Linked DNA regions of Drosophila melanogaster. The protein of the gene in region 4 interacts with the protein of the main gene of each other region in a pairwise test. Each region holds a gene or a part of one and is shown on either strand. Other genes may lie near its edges. The genes, in order: CG15549, cpa, CG8141 and CG14506.

Region 1 (3,839 bases), 1.6 Mb from region 4:
GCCCGAAATGCCGGGCAATAATTAAATTATCATTAACGATGTCGGTTTAGCAGGGTCACATGAAACCCAGTTAAGCGGGCACTTTGAGGGGTGTTCTCGAACCCCACCCCCTCACATAGTAACATAGTAGAGGGGAAACTATCCTGTTTTGGGGATCTTTATCAGGGTGACCCAATAATTATGACTTCTCTTCCAGTTGAGATATATCTACACTCGGTTATCTACTTTGAAATAGGTTAGCTTTTTCACTCAGATTTGTACATATTTGATATGAGACAGCTTAGATAATTTAAAATCAAATAATAATCATACAAATTCAAATAGCTTATATATCTAATGACGATAATAGTATTCGCATAATATGGCTTTGAATATGTAACATCCACTCATATTTCAAAAATCCTACGCCGAACCGCAAATCACAGATTTGCGCAGTTTCGACTAACAAATTGGAAAATGTACGAAAAGCAAACCGAAATGCCGCTAAATGGGTTCCGAATGTAATTGTATTTGCATTTGCATTTGGAGCCGAGAGAAGAGCACAACTGTACTTGGGGGCTGTGTGTGCTGTGCAAATCCACGCAAAATTCCCCAAATTCCGAATGGGTTGGGTTCAAATCGAATCGAGAGGGTTGAAGTGTGCTTAAATTCTCATTAGACGCATTAGTGGCGTTGACCAGCTGCCACGCCCACCGCCCGCCGCCGCCTCTTTGCACCTGACCATGCCCGAAATTCAATAATAATAATTGATTGCTTATTACAAACGCACTGCATATGTGTCTCAAATTTATGTGGATATTCTGCTGGTGGTGGGGAAGGGGGGAACGGGTGGAATTTGCTAATATTTACGCATTAGTTTATTTGCCGATGGGAGGTGGTGAACCCCCTGCCAAATCCACCCTGTAAATGCCAAATGACCAATGCACCTGTACGGCCCAAAATCATCATTAAAGTTTAATGTTTTCATTTCGGTTTGTGCACGCAGCAATTTTAATTATTAACTTTATAATTATGCAAAATCACGAATTACATTAGAATCACTTTGTTATGCCGATTTGGTTTACGGTCTCTTTGAGCGGTGAATCGAGTGAATTGCGAGCTGATTTGGCACTTCTAATCAAGACTCGGCTGCCATTCCCCATTCCCATTTGGCCACAATAATTAAGCCCTGTGGAATAATAACCGAAAGCAATAATAACAGAAGTTTAAACTTAACCAACTTTACATACGAATCTCACACTTTTAATATCTAGGGCTAAGTAAGTACGATTGTTTAAAATGAAAGTAATATAATGCAGTATAATATTTATTTTATATCAAAAGTCTTGTTTTATTTTCGAATCATTTGGAACATTTTTTAAAGACTCCCATTGGAATAGTTCTCCTCCCAATGGAATAGTTCTGGGAAAGGCCCGTCGTCTTTGCGATAAGTGGAGCCTATAAAGTCAGCTCCACGATTTCCAAAGCTTCAGTTGAAGAAATTCCGCGCAATGACTTACAAGATCGCCGTAAAGTGGTTCCCTATTTCGCTGGTGCAGGAAGTACTGGCAGCTCAACAGCCAGCGATATCCGAATCGTGGAGCTTTTCACTGGAATCCATACCCACCAAAGTGCTGATCATCTCCAGCGTAGTCCTGATCACTTGTATTTGGATAGGCTGCGCCTACTTCATGGCCAATCGCCATCAGAAGGCGGTCCAGTATCTTCAGAGCCAACTTGACGAACTGTGGCTGCTGCAGGCTAAGCCCTCCGTTTGGCCACATGCTCCCTTCATCCCAAATGCCCGGGAGCAGAATCCGCCGGAGTATATTCCGCCTATGGATCCCCAGGAGCAGGAACAGGAGGCCAACGAGGCGCGGGAGAGGGCAGAAAAAGCCAGGGCATTTTTGGAGACCAGAAACAAACATAAAGATAAAGAGTGAGATAAAACCGATTTTAAGTGGAATTATAAATATTAACTTTACAACCTTGCATATATATTAAAAATGAAATTATACAATACTTAGATAGTTTCCAACTATTTGCTTTAGTTTTATTAAAATACATGTTGCAGTCAGCACTGACTTAGCCTTAAATTTATTTGAGAATCCTCAAAATTCATGCTATTCGACGTGTGGCAAAAAGTGCAGTATGTTGGCCAATCTGTTGACCCTAAGCTGCCTTCTGGCCCAAATTATCCCTCGGATTTGGGGGCAGTATGCGGCGGTGAACTGCTCAGATCCCAGGATCGAACTGACATCCTGTGGCCGCTTCAGTACGAACGGGTGCTGTGCCAAGGGATGTGTGAGGAATGTGCGCGGAAGGTGCGTCCAGGAGGAGTGCACCGCATCCTGGAGCGGCTGGCTTCAAAGGCCAGTGACCATGAGCTGCTACTTCCACTGGTTCCTGCTGATCTTCGCCGGGCTCATCACGGCCCTCATGCTGGGCCTGGTGGCCTGCAACGCGGCCTGCGAAATAAGGCGCTACCTTCGCCAGCGGAGAATCGAGCGATTCAGGCGCTTCAGGGATCTGAGCGGAGTCTCCATTGGATCCACTCAGTGCTAGAGCACGTGTGAGCATGAGGTCCTTGGACTAAGGGGCTGGGAATCAGGAAGGAAGTGCCGAGGGATTTACCATAATCTGCAATACATTAGCGGCAGCTTTGCTCTGGATTCCAATTCAATTCTTTGGGTATCTCCGGCCAAAGCCATGTAAATTACGATTCGCCACCTCGGAAATCCTATTAGTAGTTAAAACCTGATTAGGAAATACTTGCGGCCGAGCCTCGGGCTCACATTTGCTGAAAGCAAATAATAATAAATGGCTCTCACATGCGAGATGCTTTGTGGATACATGCCCTCCAGGGTGACACCTCCTCCGGAGCAAGTCGAAGGTGGCGTGGAATTCAGATGGCTGTGGAGTCGAGTCAAAGGTGCAATAACCCAACCGAGCGGGGCACATAAAACTAAATGGCTGCGGGTTGCGTTGCCAGTCCTCGAAGTCCTTCCCAGACCCCGGACCCCGGTCCCGGATCACCAGCTCGCTCCTCTGCGGATTCAGTAGCTATTGCGGTGGAGATAACAACCATAAGGGTACACCCGAGGGCACTCAGAGAGGAGCGTTGCAAATAGGATTGTGTATATTTTGTCACAGCTTCTTTCTGTTTTAAGTGAATGAGAGACTATTAAAATCGGGAAACTAAATATTTTATTTCAACCTATAGTCTTTAGTCTCTAGTCTATTTCACAGTATTCGCTTTAATATTTAAAGCCCCTCTGCTTCCTAATAGTTCTTCGTTTTTTTTTTTTTTTTTGTTCATTTCCCCTGCTGTTCAGCTTATGTGTGCGAATATAAATGTATATATTTTTAGTATAACTGAAAGTCAGTCAGGCATGCAGCCAAAGCTAAACGCGCTGCCAACCGCGCAGAAAATGAAATGGAAAATATTGGCGGGCGGGGGAGCTGGAAAAGCGGAAAATAAAAAGGAAATAAACGAGCCAAAAAGGAAAAGCTTTGCGAAAAGGTTGCCCATGTGTGTGGAGTGGTGGGTGGTGGGGGGTCGGGCTGGGGGTCCCGGGTAGCAGATTTAGAGGTTGCTTATGTGTGATTTAGTACAGCATGCGCGAATATGGCGGCGATAATTCTTTAAAAATTGGAAATTGTTTTCCAATCGATTTCGCATTTAGCCAAAAAGCACTCAACACAAAGACACAAAGGGCCGCCAACGAGTGTCTTTTATAAACTTGTGTAGTTGTTCGGTTTCGGATTGGCTGGGCCGCACAAGCGGATTGAACCCATACGAGTGTGTATTTATATTTGATAAAAATGTATGAAAAATACGATATTTCGTTATTTTTCAC
Region 2 (5,038 bases), on a different chromosome or scaffold from region 4:
GACCATTATCCGTGGCCTGGACGGTGACGAAGACGAACTTCTCGTGGATCGGCTCGTCACGATCGAATGTGTGGGTGGTGAAGATTACGCCCGTGCTGGGATTGATAAAGAACTTGGGTCGCTCGAACGGCGACTGGACGATGCTGTATCGAATGACCTGGTCGGGATCAGGGTCGACGGCCTCTACGGTGAGAACGTAGGTGTTTTCGGGCTGCTCCTCTTTGACCTTAGGAGCGTATCCGGCGCAGTTTTTGAAGGCGGGCTTACGATTGTCGCCGGAAAAGTTTTTGTCCGGCGGCGAGTGAAGTGCGAGGGCGGGTGACAGAAGGCTGATGGCCACGATAACGCCCAGGAGGAGTCTCGCGGGGATTAGTCGCCTGCCAAGGTCGCGGCATTTTCGCTTGTGCTGCTGGTGCGTCTGTTGCTGGGCGGGATTTAGGTGGCCGGCCTGCGGGGTCGCCGACATATTGATGCAGTGGTAGCTTCTGGACATTCGCTGGACACTGGTGGACATACTCTCTAGCGGCGATCCGCCATCGCAGACTCTCTTTTTTTCAACCGCAACACTTTTGAGCACTTCTTCGTGAATCACCCAGTATTATTTCACTCACACACCTTTTACTTTTGTTTGTGTTGCCCACTTCTACTTCCACTTCTTTTTTATTCTATTCTATTTGCACTCTTCTTCTTGTTTCGTTTCTCTCAGTGTACCGTTTGTTTGGACTGCATTTTCATGGCAACCGCTCAATAATTATCAATCGAATCGAACTCGTACAGTGCGCGCCCTGATTGTTAACTGACTTATTCCGATTTCGGTGCAGCTGCTCTGGCTGATATTTTCGTTCACTTTTATCTTTCACTCGTCCGCTTGGGCACTCTCTTTCTCCGTTTCTGTTGCCTCCTCTCTTTCGCACCGCAAACAGGTAAGACCAGGTAAAAAAGTGGTTACACGCACACCGCCAAGCGCGCGCATTTGTGTGCGTGTGGTTCGGTTCGCTGCGTTGGTATGTGTGTTACCAACGACTTTTGGTAAAAAGGCACTTTTCGATGGTATTTCGTTGTGAACTTGTACTTTCTGGCGAATTATTTTAAATAAAAAGATCGCAAAACGTATTTTCTTTCACTTCGATCGCTTTTATTGTCGACTTACAACGAAGCTGCGGAGCCACACCGATTTTGAAACTGCGATCGACGCGCGAGACAACCGCTCAATTCAAAAGCAAAAACACAATGCAACAAAAACAACGGGCGGCGTTAGAGATGTGAGACACCGTCGATTCCTCGGTCATCGATAATTAACGGTTAATAATCTCGATGTTTTCGTTTTATCGATACTATATACTGTCTACACTTCTCGATAAATACGTTGATGTGAATCAATTACACTGGATTTAATATAACAAATATTTCTTTAAAAATGGAAGCTGGAAGATAAAAATGGCCCAGCTTGGGCTTTCAAATAGAATTATTAACAACTATTTTTCACAAACAAACAGGTTAATTTTAAACGAGTTGATCAATACTTTAATACTTATATAACTGAAAAATATTTAATAACCAAAACTAGCTACCATGTACAACAATAACATAATTTGCTTTAAAAAAGTTCTGATTGAGTTTGGTTTTGAACAGGCAATGATATTTATTGGTCTCGAGGAACTATTTCTATAATGTATTACATTCTACATCGTTAAAAGTTTTTTTATTGCAATTCAAGTAACGCGCCAAGACTTTTGCCATTCACCCGTCGGATTATGGAGCAGTGTAGACTGCCCGTAAAATACGGTGAATCGCATCCGGTACAGGTACACAAATATTTCCCATCCCTAGCAAAGAGTGGAAAAAAAAGTGAATCGAATCGTCATCGTCTTGGCCCATTAATTGCGGAGAAAAAAGATTGCAGCGCCGAAAAAACGGTCAAGGAAGAGTTCCAGCGACACCGCAACTTCCAACCACTCCACAAGAAGATCCCGTCGAAAGGTAGAACCCTAGGAACCGGAGGGGAAACCAGACCAAACCAAACAACCGCCCAGCCCCGATTTCGTGAATCACCAGTGGAACTATGGAGCAGACACCGATCACCGATGCGGAGAAGGTGCGCATCGTATCGGACTTCATCCTACATGCGCCGCCCGGCGAGTTCAACGAAGTGTTCAACGATGTGCGGGAGCTCCTCAAGAATGACACTCTGCTAAAGGATGGGGCTAGCCACGCCTTCGCCCAATACAACAAGGACCAGCTGACTCCGGTTCGCATCGAGGGCACCGATCATAACGCCATCATATCGGAACACAACGATCTGGGTGAGTTCAGTTCCATCAATGCCCTTAAATGGACAAAGCCTGCCATATGAGTCACCTACACACATTGTTTGGCTTTCGGTCGATATCTTGAGCCCCACACTGATAAGCAATTGCATTCCAGGAAACGGTCGCTTCTACGACCCGCGCACAAAGCAAGCCTTCAAATACGACCACCTCCGAAAAGAGGCTTCCGACTACCAGGACGTAGAGGCAGATGCCACTGCGGAGCCCTGGAGGGCGGCCCTCGACCTGGAGACGCTCGCCTACACTGCCAGTCATTATAGACACGGGGTAAGTTGAATGAAAAACGCTCTATTGCTTACAATAACCCGTAACATTTTCTCTACAGGTCAGCTCTGTTTTTGGAAAGGCGCAGGGCAACCAGATCACCCTGACCATTTGCATCGAAGACCACCAGTTCCAGCCGAAGAACTATTGGAATGGCCGATGGCGCTCCCAGTGGCATGTGACCTTCCAGGCGGGCAGCGGAACCGCCGAACTGAAGGGTGTGCTCAAGGTGCAGGTGCATTACTACGAGGACGGCAACGTCCAGCTGGTGTCCTCAAAGGAGTGCCGCGAAAGCGTGGTGGTCAGCAACGAGCAGCAGGTGGCCAAGGAGGTGATCCGTCTGATCGAGGACGCCGAGAATGAGTACCAGCTGGCCATTTCGGAGAACTATCAGACGATGTCGGACACGACATTCAAGGCAATGCGTCGCCAGTTGCCCATCACCAGGACCAAGATCGACTGGAGCAAAATCGTCTCGTACAGCATTGGCAAGGAACTGAAGACGCAATAAGACCAGGAGGTGCAAGCGGAAGAGGAGCGGACACAGTCGACAAAGCGGCCCAATAGTCTTCCACTTGCCATGGCCAAGCGAGCATAGGAACCGATCACCAGCATTAACACCACAGCATCCGAAACGAAGTAGCAGGAATACGAGAAACGAGGGCGGCCAGGTGCAGGTGCCTGCCGAAAAAGCAAATGTCTGTAATTGGCTATATACATACGAACATATACCTACTTATATATATATATACGGCCTGTATTTATACTGTGTTATACAACGACGAAAGTGCGTAAACATAACTACACATATATCGAGTACGATCGGAGACGATTTGATTGCAAGGATTTGGATGACTTTAGCCTGACGGTGAACGATGCACTGCCGCCTCGTCTACGTCACGATCGCCACCAATTGTCGCCTTTATCGTTTAAGAAGAGCATTAAACGCGGATTTTATCATGTCCTCTGACCTATGTATTATTCTAATTTTAAACGAATCAAGCTCGAGATCTGCGCTCTCGATGAGCCAGTCAATTCTTCGTGTCTTTGAAGACCAACCAGCCGACTCTCGACTATTTTAAGTGGTATCATTAGGAGCACTCATTCAAGTTTTTCGCTTTCCCGATTGTTCACAAACCAACCACCTAGTATGAGCATGAATAATAACTATGCTAAACCACTGATCATTTTTGCCAGCTCTCCATTGACAAACAATAACTAAAGACTTTGATTTTATAAAAACAATAAATTTGTAATTAAAATAACATAACTATAAAACATTTAAGATTGCTTGAATTAGTCAAATTTAAAGAGAATAAACTAATTGAATCGGACATTCGGATTGTCTTCACTTTGAATGTGTTTCTGGTTGTTGATCCGATGCGGATAGAATGACATTGGAATCAACTTGCTGGGCAGTTTGTTTGGTTATACTCTCGGGCAGATCGAAGGTTAGTTCCTCGGATTTTTTAAGCAAAAATCGTTTCTCTGGGTTGAGTTTTGTTTCCAGCTCCAGTCGATCGATCAGCCAGCCTCTATCCGGCTGATTGGACGCCCAAAAGTATAAAGTTCCTGCAAATATAAGGTTGGTAAACGCCAAAGATTTGCTTTCAAAATCGATGGATCTACCTTTATCCTTGCTGCCCCGCACAGCCACCTCACAACGCGCCTCCTCCGCATTGCAATTGTTGTTGGCGTTGGACAGATCGATGCCAGAGTCCTTGATGGGTTCACCCAGGAGACCAACTGCTCCTCGATGGCTCCGCAGTGCCTTCAAGGCCAGTTTGTAGTACTCTGCGGATTTCACCCGATCCTCCATCTTCCATTTCATGTACATCACAGCGGATATGGAGGCCACCGCACCGTAGACACAAATATTGCCCAGTGTTCGGTTCGACGGAAACTTGAGTCCAACCATCTTGCTAACGCTTTTTTATTTACAATCCAGCTGCTGTTACTTGTGTAATATACCGTATAGCCGGCGTCGAATTAGCGATGACAGCTGGTCGATATCGTTATGTGAAAAGGCTTATTAAGACCGAAGTCCACCTCTAAATGCATTTATATGCAAATTATTTGCAGAAAATATAACAACATCATCTATTGTTATGTTGTTTTAGTGACAATTAAGTCATATTATAAAATTGCTCATAAAATTGCTTTTCATTTAAAAATAATTTCGATAGTTATTTGTTTTGAAAAATCAGCTGACTGGTCGTATACTTTATAACCAGGGCTGCAGTGCCACACTTATAGTTAGCAGATTATACAACAAAACGCACAGTTTTGTAAATATCTGTAATTTATCATTTGTTTTTCTATTAAAGTGACGAAAACGGATTAAATAAAGCACATAGCAGACATGACCAGCCTAACCGCAGTTTTCCAGATGGCGAGGCAGCGATTGATAGCCCCAGCGATAGGAAACTGGGCACGTTTTTATGCTG
Region 3 (3,771 bases), about 16 Mb from region 4:
CATTCTGGCCAGGATAAGTCTGAACAGTGCAACTCATAAGGGAGACAAGCAGCCTCTTCACATCGGCTTGTGTACCATTGCATTTTGCATAATGAAGCCGGCAGACAGTGCACTTTCGAGCATCAGACAAACGAAGTTAGGTACGAACTTAAAGGCTTGCCAAGCTGGAAAAGTTAAAGTTAGCTTTTTGGCACAAGTAGTGAGAAGGGGTTGGTAATTTGGGTAGGGGTTTTTAGGAGCGTTGTAGTAGCCTAATTACGCTCCAATGGCTGCCCATCAAAAGTGACAGTTGGCAAGGCAGGGGCTTACAATAAAATTTCAAGTTAAGTTATTGCCGCGCCGCTGGCGAGAGCTACGCGAATACTCAGTTGAAAGTAATTCCAAATTTAATTGCGCACAATTTAGAATGGCGAGATGTTGGCGTGCGTTTAATTAACTGAAAAATAACATAAAAAGCAAAACGAAAACAAAGCCCAATGACAGCCGCGGCGCCAGTGGAAATGCTTAATGTTAAATGCCAACTAATTAAATTTCGGGCATGCCAACGAAGTTGACTGGAGTTGAACTGCCGAATTTATTGTTGCATTTAATGGCCAGCGCAGGCGGTTATCCTTGTGCCATCGCTCGGCTTTACCACTTTTTATTGCGTATACGCTGGGGCACCCCCATTACGTATACGCAGTGTATTACGCCCCTCCACTCACAGCAGGCAAATGGACAGGCTAAAGGATTCGCTTTGTGGACAGGGATATAGGATGCCAAATGACGCAGAACCACTGGCATTGCGATTGTAATTCCGATTGGGCAAACGTCAGTTTCTCTGCGGTCCGTCGCCAAATGAAGCCAATAAAATGTCCTTGTTCGCACGCAAACGTGCGAAAGTGATTCATGTAAACTGATAAAAATTTAATCATATTTCACGTATTAACACGTAATTATTAATGCCTGATAAATGTCGGCAGTTGTGTAATATGTGAAAAAGTCGCTATTAATATGCATTATTTTCCGCTAGTTGTTATTTCACTGGGTAAGTAAAAAGCGCACGGTGTGTCCACAAGCTTCGGAAATACTTTGCTACGCATTACCATATAATTATAGTACTTTAAAAATATTTTATAGATGGTCTTAAAAACTTAAATTTCATTATATTTTACCACGCAACACTCCCGCTTGTTTTTTATTCAGAACAAGAACAGGTTATTTTACACCACTGCGTAATAGTTCTTTATTTAATTCTGTTCGAGTGTGTAATTTCGCTATGAAACTTCACTTTTATTATTATTGTCATTGTTATGTGTGCGAACGCCTGTCGGCGGGTTTATTTGGACCGTCCCGCGCTTTATTTTCTTTTAATTATGTACTCAGCTCACAAATGTGGGTCAATTAACAAGCAGTCGATGGTCCCCATCGATGTCGAAAAATCGGGATTAAACAATGCCGCAGACGTGCTGCCAGGACAATGCAAACAATTGTCAGAATTTAAATGCAGCGGCAACGGACCGCGAAGTTTCCACTCACTATCCGGTTCAATTTTCGCATAAATTATGCCGCCATATGTCACACATCTGGCGAATGCTACGAATTTCGATTTTCCGCCGTTTTTCCGGAACTGTCAAATGCTCGGCGTGTGTAGTTCGCTGTTTTGCAATTCTTGGACGGAATGCTGGAATGGTTTTAATATAAATCACTAAGTGTCTGCAAAACAATCAAAATCTGGCATGAACTATGTTACGGTGAAACTTAGTCATTAATTAATATGCCCTCAAATTTAAGTCGCTGAAAATGTCTTGCTTTTCATATAATCGAGAAATAAAATTACTATTGTACCTAAGATCTGTGTTAAGAATATTATAAAAAGTCGCGTTTGCTTTGACTCAGTTGTCACAAATTTGCCAGGCACAAATTTATATTTATGTAATTTGGAGCATGGGTTTTTAAAAACAATAATCACAAAAAGATTTTGAAATGGAAGCAGTTGCTAGAGAAAATGATCCACCAAATCATTGCTATATAAATGAAGAAGTTCCAGCGAATGAAACTGCCGAGAATCCTAGTCATGGCCTTCAAGGTGAGGCATTCCAATTAAATGGAAAATTATTAATGTTCAAGGTGAGCAGGTGAGGTGATTTCAAAGGGTTATATACCAGACTTGTCCAACGCAAACGTCAATCAGCAACAGCAGCAGGAAAATGATGGCGAAGATGACCTCTTGCCTGGAACTAGACTTCGCTACCGTCGCAGGAATTTGCATCTGGATCCCTATGTGTGCAATGAGTGCAACCAGTATGTGCGTGGTGGTGTGATCACCATCTGTGGTCATTTGTTTTGCTGGACTTGCCTGTGGCCCAAATTGAGTGGTACAGCACAGCCAAGATGTCCATGCTGTCAACGACATTTGCTCATGTACGAGGACATCATGCCCTTCCATGGAGAGGGACCCAATGCCCGTCAGGAGGATAATAATGTGCCGGCCCAGCCGGGCTCAGTGCCTCGCCCGACGGGACTGTATCTCTCTGATACTGATTTTCCCTGTTGGTTCGCGGTCAACGATCCTGTAGATGGGTGCCCAGCGACTTTCCCTGATATTCGCAGGGAGAGGGATCTTCACTGCGCTATAAGGCTTATTCCAATGGTGTACCCTTGGATCGGAGCACAAATTAGTTTTCTCAAGTGGTTCCAGTTGGGATGCGTGTTGCTCATATTTCTGATATGGTCCGTACTGTCGCTGTTCTAAGAGGTGTTTTTGTAATACATTTTTGTTTTTGGTTAATGGGAGAAGAGTGCGTTTTGGTTAATATCTTAAGAGGTTGGTCGGACCTCAATAAATTTCTGCTAATGCTGAAAGTATCTATTTTATAAAATCGAATGATTTAAATCGTATATAACATTCATTATAATTTGTTGCCCAAACCTCTGCAGCCAAGACATTTTCGTTGGAACCCTCTTGCATCTTCAACGAATCGAAGAAATATTTTATGAACTCTCTGGCCAAGTCAAAGTTAGTAAGTGCAACAACGCAAAGTACCGGGGCATCCTGGCCAGCTGAAACAATAAATTCTTGGGGCAGTTAGGAAACCAGACAAAACTGTAAGCAAAGTTAAGCAGCTTTAAGTCGGAACTTAAAGCCTTTTCACCTGAGGAGTATGGAAAGAAACGAACCGAATACTTTGGCTAATGAACCATGGTCAACTGAATATTCGGGGAATTGGGTTAGCCCAATTGAGTTGTTAACCGACTTTTGTGGGGGATGGACACTTGATGACAGCTCCGTGGGGGAATTGGAGTTGCGTGTCGGCCTTTAGCGGCTTGGCTCTGGGCAATATTTATCATTAATTAAGTGAGTGCCGAGAAATCCGTAAGGATATATAACCGAAAGGCAAGTGACAGAAGTTAATGCGTCAGCTAGGTGGAGAAAGCGACACGGACATTGAAAGGAAGCGGATGCAGATGCATCCTGTGATTCAGCTTTATTATTGCAGCTTAAATGGCATTTGCCAACAGCAGCGCGCTTGTGAGCGTATGTTTGCGTGTGTGTGTGTGTGTATCTGTGTGCGTGTGGGGAGAATGGAAAATCCTTTCTCCGCCTTTCCGAGGATATGACAATGTCCGCTGCAGCAACACAGAAAATTGATGCGTTTTAAATTGCATTAAATTCCATGGAACGTAATCCCAGCCACTCGCACACAGACACGCTCACGAAAGCCAGCTCTGTGTACAAATTAAATTAATTTTGTTTGCCTTGTTCTCGGAGCGTCTGGCGTTATGACACTA
Region 4 (6,332 bases):
ATGTCTTGACCAAATCACAGGGATGCGGATGCGGATTCGGATGCGGGTTCTAAGTTCTTGGTTCCGGGGTGACTGGGAAAGTCTTGAATGCAAATGTGTGCCTGTCTCTGATTTGTAATCAAATTAAATTTGTGTTTGGTACAAACAATGAGCGACAGACGACAACATCTCGCATCCGTGATAAAAGCCGAAATTCCTGGTAGACACCAAAGTCAGGCCGGAAAATGCAGTTTTCCCACAGTTGCCGCACGGCTCCAATCGCAACTTCTAGGGAAACTCCCTCACCACCAGAGCTGCGCTGGTGAAAACCTCATAAATTCTCACTTTTTGGCAGGCCGCACACGGCGAGGGAAATTCGAGGCGGCAGGACTCGAAGGACACAGCGCCAGGCGATGAATAGACATTCCCGAGATAATCAACGGCATTATCTTCTGATTATTATGTGTTCTTGGGGCATTTCAGGGAATTTCGTTATGATGAAACTCGCAAAAAATATCGAACTATATCCGGGATGATCGGCGGATGATGAGGATGCCGGGACACCCGGTTGAGTGGCTGAGTATCCGCTTTCCTTTCTCCTCTCTCGTTTAGTTTTTTTTTTTTTCGCAAATTCTCTGTGAGCTCATCATAATCATCATCAAACCCTCGGTCACTTGAGGTTTAAGCCAACATTAAAAAAGAGCCGAAAAAACACCCAAAGACGAAGGAAATCGCCGAAATGAACGTGAGAACACTGAATGTCCTCGTACCGAAATTTGCTTGGGCTCCTCATTGTTCGTTGAAGTGCTCGAGAGAGATTTGCTAGTTGTGTCCTTATTGTTTGCGGGCGAATGTTCATGAATGAATCAATGAATGCCTGAATGGCTAAACGGCTGAAGTTCACGTCCGCACAAAGTATCCGAGTATCTGAGGGATATTGCCGCGTTTTTAGCTGGAATCCCGGATGCAGTCGAGGCGTGAGAAGGAGGCGATCTCTGCGGCCTTGGCAACAAGTCTATTAGTCCGCCATGGTCCACTTGTTTATGGCTTACGTAACCTGGGTGGCAAAGGATGTGCAGGATCTGCACTGGCAGATGGATTCGTGAAAGGGATGCGCGCCCTGATTTCTGCGAGTTGGGTAAACATTCATCGCATCCGGTGCACCCTTGACCGATTGCGAATGCAAATCGCACATTAGAAGCCATGTGCAACTTTCCGCCCAGCAGTCAAACATTATGCAACCGAAACCGAAGGCCGCCCAGTCCATTGATGGCAAATGACAGGGAAACCCATTCGGGACACGTTTTTATGGAGGTGCGAAATGGCACATTTTTTCGACGAAACCTGCCGCGTCATTGAGTCGTCGTCCTTTTTACACCGGCTATGTGCAACCTGAACAACCTGTGCAAGCCTTGCAATTTGTCACCTGAGGCGACATTCAAACTGCCAACGCATTCCAGCTGGGTTTTTGCCTTTGGCCTACTGGTTCCTTTCATTTGGCCACGATTTGGTGGCAACAGTTTCATGAATCGCAGCCGGAATGCCGACCGTTACGAATATTCATTCATGGCACGGCAGCCACTCTGGGGACCTTAAATGGGGCTTTGACTTTGATCCTACAGTTTCATAAAATATTTATGAAATTTCCGATGAAAATATTTGTGCTCAGTTTGGCAAATCATTTCCTTGTGCGAAACGGATAAAAATTTTCCCAGGCCTCGATGAACTGAAAGTGCAATTTTCATTTATGCAATGGGAAAGGTTTGAGTAGGTTTGACTTTTAAGGATTTGGGGAAACCTCAGGGGAAAGACTTTAGATTCTGCGTAAAAATTAGGGAATTTATTTCTATGAATGGCAATTTTTAAGGGAAAACTCCCCACTTCACCACTCTTATAATAAATAGTCATTGATCAGAGTTGGCTTTGGGTTTGTCTATCAACCAAGTATATTTCAACTTGGCTTTAAAAAGCATGGATAGTTCATGGAGCTCCTTGATTTCCCTAGAACCCCTGGGAGTGACCAACACGCCATTGGACTTGCCTGGACTTGATTCGTGTCCTTCGCCAAAAAGAGCAAGGATTAGTGAATCCCAGCTGGGGGAAGCCATGCCCAGGGAACCAGCTAGTGTCTATGGGGAAAAGGCAGGTGAGAACGGCTATCGGGGACTTTAAGCTTCTCACGGACTTTGAATTATCCACAATCCTAGCAAATTTCCATTCCCTACAAGAGAAGGTGAAAACGTACCAACCTGGCACAGTGGTAGTCCAGCCACCCGAACGACGGCCTCCCGAGCCGGAACACGATCGCCTGATGTTCATTCCCGACCTAGACCAGGACATTACCCATCGGGATGTGTTCACCTATTTCAGCAAATTTGGGGATTTGGAGAGGGTCAGCGTGAGGAATGGCATGAGTAACTTTAACTACGCCATGGTGCGGTTTAGTCGCACTTCATACATGGAGCATGCCATCGAATCGAATCCACATCTGATCAAGGGATACCGATTGAACTGTCGCAAGGCGAAAGAAAAAAGTACAAATAAGGGAAGTCAGCAAAACTCTGGGACCATAAAAAAACCAAAGGCAACGATAACGCAGCCACACAAAGCTCCTGTAAGGCAGGCAGAGAAAAACGACGCCAAACAAAGTGGTCACAAATCTTTAGAGAAGAATTCGAAGCCACCAATTAACAGATCATTGCTTCTTCAAAAACTGGTAGAACCCACGTCCTATAGTCCATTTACCGCCGTAAAATCTGATCGAAACTATGCCTATGCATTAACCAATGACATTGGAATCTCCCGCTGGAGCTTTAACTTGTTGAAATTCGAACCCAGTTCAGACGAGGTGAGGGCCCTGGAAAAGGGTCTTTCCAGTTCGGCAAAGCTCCTACTGAGCATACGGAAGAAACTGGCTGCCGTGCCCCACAAGTCTGTCGAGCCACCAGCTCCAAAGTGGCCACAAACTCCTAGTGATAAAGCCGTTCCAAAAGTTACTCTTAAGATAGCTCCACCAATTCCTGCCTCTAGTCCAGTGCTCCCATCCCTGCCACAAACTCCTAGTGATAAAGCCGTTCCAAAAGTTATTTTTAAAATACCTCCACCACCTCCTGCCTCTAGTCCAGTGCTCCCATCCTTGCCGAGCCTTCTGCCGATCACTCCCCTAGTGCCTAAGCCCAAACCTGTTCTTCGAAAAGTTTCCAAGTCAGATCTCCGCTACGCCGTTCTAGCCAGTTTGGGTCAGAACTATGTCCATCACTGCTACACTAATGTGGCAGCTTATCGGCGGACCAAGAACTACGTCGACCTACAGCTCAGCGAGATGAAAGACCGACCCAGCATTTCGATGTTTGCGGATCAGATGTACGCACAGAAAGAGTAGGAATTACCAAATGCAAATCATATCTATCATATCATATATCATTCAATATAACAATAGTTAAGCAATATTTCCCAAGAAACTTCAAAGAACACTTTCATTATAAGGAAATGGCATACATTACATAAGTCGGACACTTTCTAAATTGAGGGAAGCCGAAGGATGTGACTTAGATTCCTGGAAGATATGAATGGAGCTGCTTGAATGAAACGTGAACATATTACACAAAAAGTTCCAATTCCAATTCAAAGGCACTTGAATCGCAGCAACCTGTCAACATAATTAATCCCCTGGATCAGCTGATGACGGTACTGCCCCTGACCGAATGATACACAAAATATGAACAATTCCTAGAGGGGGCGCGGGAATGCGATAAATGCGATGAAATAGGGGGCCTTGATTTCTGTAGCGCGGCCTCTGTTCTGCCCGACATTCCCAAGGATGTGCCTCCAAAAACCTGGCTTTCTTCTTGCTGGGCCGTGTTAATTGTCCAACATTGTGTGAGCGTGGACGTGAACAGGTCGGGTGCCATTAACAATCTTAACAACGATCCACAGCCACGGCCACGGCGATCCCACGGCTTGTCGCCTTGTTTCTCGAGCAGTTTTTTATGCCATTTACGAAGAAATCTTGCAACAAATCAGGAGCTCCCTTTTCCACAGTAAATACGAGTGTGCGAGAGCGACCTTTATTCGTTTGATGTTAAAAAAATTGTTCTACCTTCTCCCCCCCCCAGCACTACTTGTCTTCCTTTTTGGCCGGCCATCTCTGTGAACCTGTGACGACGCAATTCTTTGCCATTATCAGCTGCATCCTTGCAGGTCCTGCACTAGTTGCCCCCGCTCTCAATTCCGTTGCCGACCCCGATTCAATTTGGCTTTTATTGGGATCTCGGGCATCCCGATCCCGATCCCGATGCGATCCTAATTGCGGTGGCAATAGCTCGGCGTTTAATCACTTCGTACCTGCGGCTTAGACAGTCAAACCCGGCAGTCACTCATCGCGGCGGAGGCGGATATGTAGTAGAGCTGCACATATAAATGGGTATATGGTCCTGCAAATGGATCGACCTCGATGATTTTCACCAGCCAAATTGCGGCTTTGTGTTGCCTTTTCCCATTTGCCGGTGGATACATTTGGACTGGATCGTTATCTGGTTCTCTTTGTGCTTTCAAGGTTTATGGTCTAGCACACATATATTTCCTGTGAGAACAAATCCCAGTCCTGATGACCCCCGTAAACAAACCCGGTGAACATGGAACATCCCGACTAACAGCAACAACATCGGTGTCTTCCACTAAGTATTCGAATTCCCCTTCCAATTTTTGTGGGGCGATCGTGTACTCGCGGGCTGAAAAATCTACATAATGACAGGGCCACGCCGAAAACTAGTTCAGATCGCAAATTACGAACCGGTAAGGGATGGGATGAGATATACATGCATGTGTGTGTTGCAGTTCCCATTCAGGACACTCGGGACAGGACATCGAGCGCAACGGGAGACGCGGCGCGTTGAGGTTCGGCAAAGGTCATGTCAGGACTTTGCATAAAATGTTTGAAAATGTTTTCATTATGGTAAGTAGACACAAAAGTCCAACACACGAGCGATTCCCACCGAAAGGGGTGTCCTTTCCCAGCCCATCCCAGCCCGTGCGCCCAGGATCCTGGCATATATTGGTGATAAATTAGTTTAATGTTCGAAGCACCAAACTCGCAAGAAGCACACGAAAAAAAAAACACTCAACCGCAGCTGAGGCGGCAAAGTTTGGCAGGAAAATCCGACCTACCGTTTTTGGCGGCATTTTCCCGACATATACGTGTCCATCGAAATGAACTCGAGTCCTGGCAACTAATGAACTACGCAAACAATAGCTCAATGGCTACGCTTTAAGGAAAAAACGACGTAAAAATCACGTCTTGGAAATTTTCACATCGTTGATCTTAAATGGAAAATTACACTTCTCTAGCTGGACAGTGCAGGACAAACAGGATAGAATAGCGATCAGGACATGACACAATTGCAGTTTGCAGGACAATTGTTGCACTCACGCACGTGCAATGTGTTCCTGCAACTCGGTGTCTCTGGATTTCGAAGTCGAGTGCGCAGGGCCACGCCCATTGTGTGTCCCAGTGGCCGACTATATAGTACAGTGCGTTTCGTGAATGAAGCGACCAAAGTTACGAGTTACTTTGAATAGCGGCGGCGGTGGCAAGTGGATCAGATCCTGCGACAATGGCCTTTGTGTCCTTTGTCTTCCGCCTTGTTGGGGGTGTGCGGTGTTGTTGCAATTTTAGTGTAATTTTATTGTTATTAATTGTATGAAATGGGTTTTTAAATGGCCTTTGTCTAGGCCAATGAATGGCCATAGTCATAGTAAAAACGTGCCTTGTTAAAGGCATGTAATATCATAGGTTTTTTATTTTTAGCGGGACAAATAAATCTAGTAATTGTAACAAGAGTTATATTGTTTCCACACATTTCGCAGCAGTTTAGAGCACTTTCCTTTTAAACGAAAAGGAATGACTTTGTGTTACAACAACTATCATGTTATCAAAGCGGAATAATAAGTTTTTAAAGTAAATAAATAAATAAACTCAAGGCTATTGAGATCATTGCCAAAGAAAATATAATCACCGGCAATATGATGACTTCAAAAATACTCTAAGAAAAGCATTGTAATTGTCTGTTCTCTAAAATAATAGTAGATATATGAAGAAATTGTAAGGACTGCTCTTAGGAAGAACAGCAGTACTCCATAGAAATATGAACTGAAGTGTTCAGAATTCAAGTATCCTAAGGTCAAGCCTTGAAAACCACAAGATACCTTCGAGAAGTACTTTCAACTCGCCTCTCAAATTAAACAGAAGTTACTTTCCAAAAAGGATAACTCGGTCGCAGTTTCCTCTCCCCCCCTCCTTTCACCTTTACCCCCTTGGATGCCATTCTTTCGTCCTTTTGCGATATACATTTTGC

What was found.
Region 1: the proteins of CG14506 (region 4) and CG15549 interact in a two-hybrid assay, tested with the Drosophila melanogaster proteins (one large-scale study listed by BioGRID).
Region 2: the proteins of CG14506 (region 4) and cpa interact in a two-hybrid assay, tested with the Drosophila melanogaster proteins (one large-scale study listed by BioGRID).
Region 3: the proteins of CG14506 (region 4) and CG8141 interact in a two-hybrid assay, tested with the Drosophila melanogaster proteins (one large-scale study listed by BioGRID).

What each region holds. Positions count from the first base shown.
Region 1 is NT_033777.3:30,934,750-30,938,588, reverse strand, and holds CG15549 (uncharacterized protein), read left to right. Parts: upstream 1-2,081; 5' UTR 2,082-2,130; coding exon 2,131-2,544; 3' UTR 2,545-3,193; downstream 3,194-3,839. Other genes in the region: CG15550 (uncharacterized protein), read left to right, coding at 1,491-1,922.
Region 2 is NT_033778.4:21,055,960-21,060,997, forward strand, and holds cpa (capping protein alpha), read left to right. Parts: upstream 1-1,827; 5' UTR 1,828-2,062; coding exon 2,063-2,303; intron 2,304-2,424; coding exon 2,425-2,594; intron 2,595-2,652; coding exon 2,653-3,102; 3' UTR 3,103-3,924; downstream 3,925-5,038. Other genes in the region: shg (shotgun), read right to left, coding at 1-514; CG15653 (uncharacterized protein), read right to left, coding at 3,940-4,163, 4,221-4,509; mRpL54 (mitochondrial ribosomal protein L54), read left to right, coding at 4,954-5,038. UniProt on the Drosophila melanogaster protein: F-actin-capping proteins bind in a Ca(2+)-independent manner to the fast growing ends of actin filaments (barbed end) thereby blocking the exchange of subunits at these ends.
Region 3 is NT_033777.3:13,189,736-13,193,506, forward strand, and holds CG8141 (uncharacterized protein), read left to right. Parts: upstream 1-1,863; 5' UTR 1,864-1,965; coding exon 1,966-2,068; intron 2,069-2,117; coding exon 2,118-2,734; 3' UTR 2,735-2,774; downstream 2,775-3,771.
Region 4 is NT_033777.3:29,292,848-29,299,179, reverse strand, and holds CG14506 (uncharacterized protein), read left to right. Parts: upstream 1-1,999; 5' UTR 2,000-2,085; coding exon 2,086-2,125; intron 2,126-2,186; coding exon 2,187-3,361; 3' UTR 3,362-4,019; intron 4,020-4,094; 3' UTR 4,095-5,437; downstream 5,438-6,332.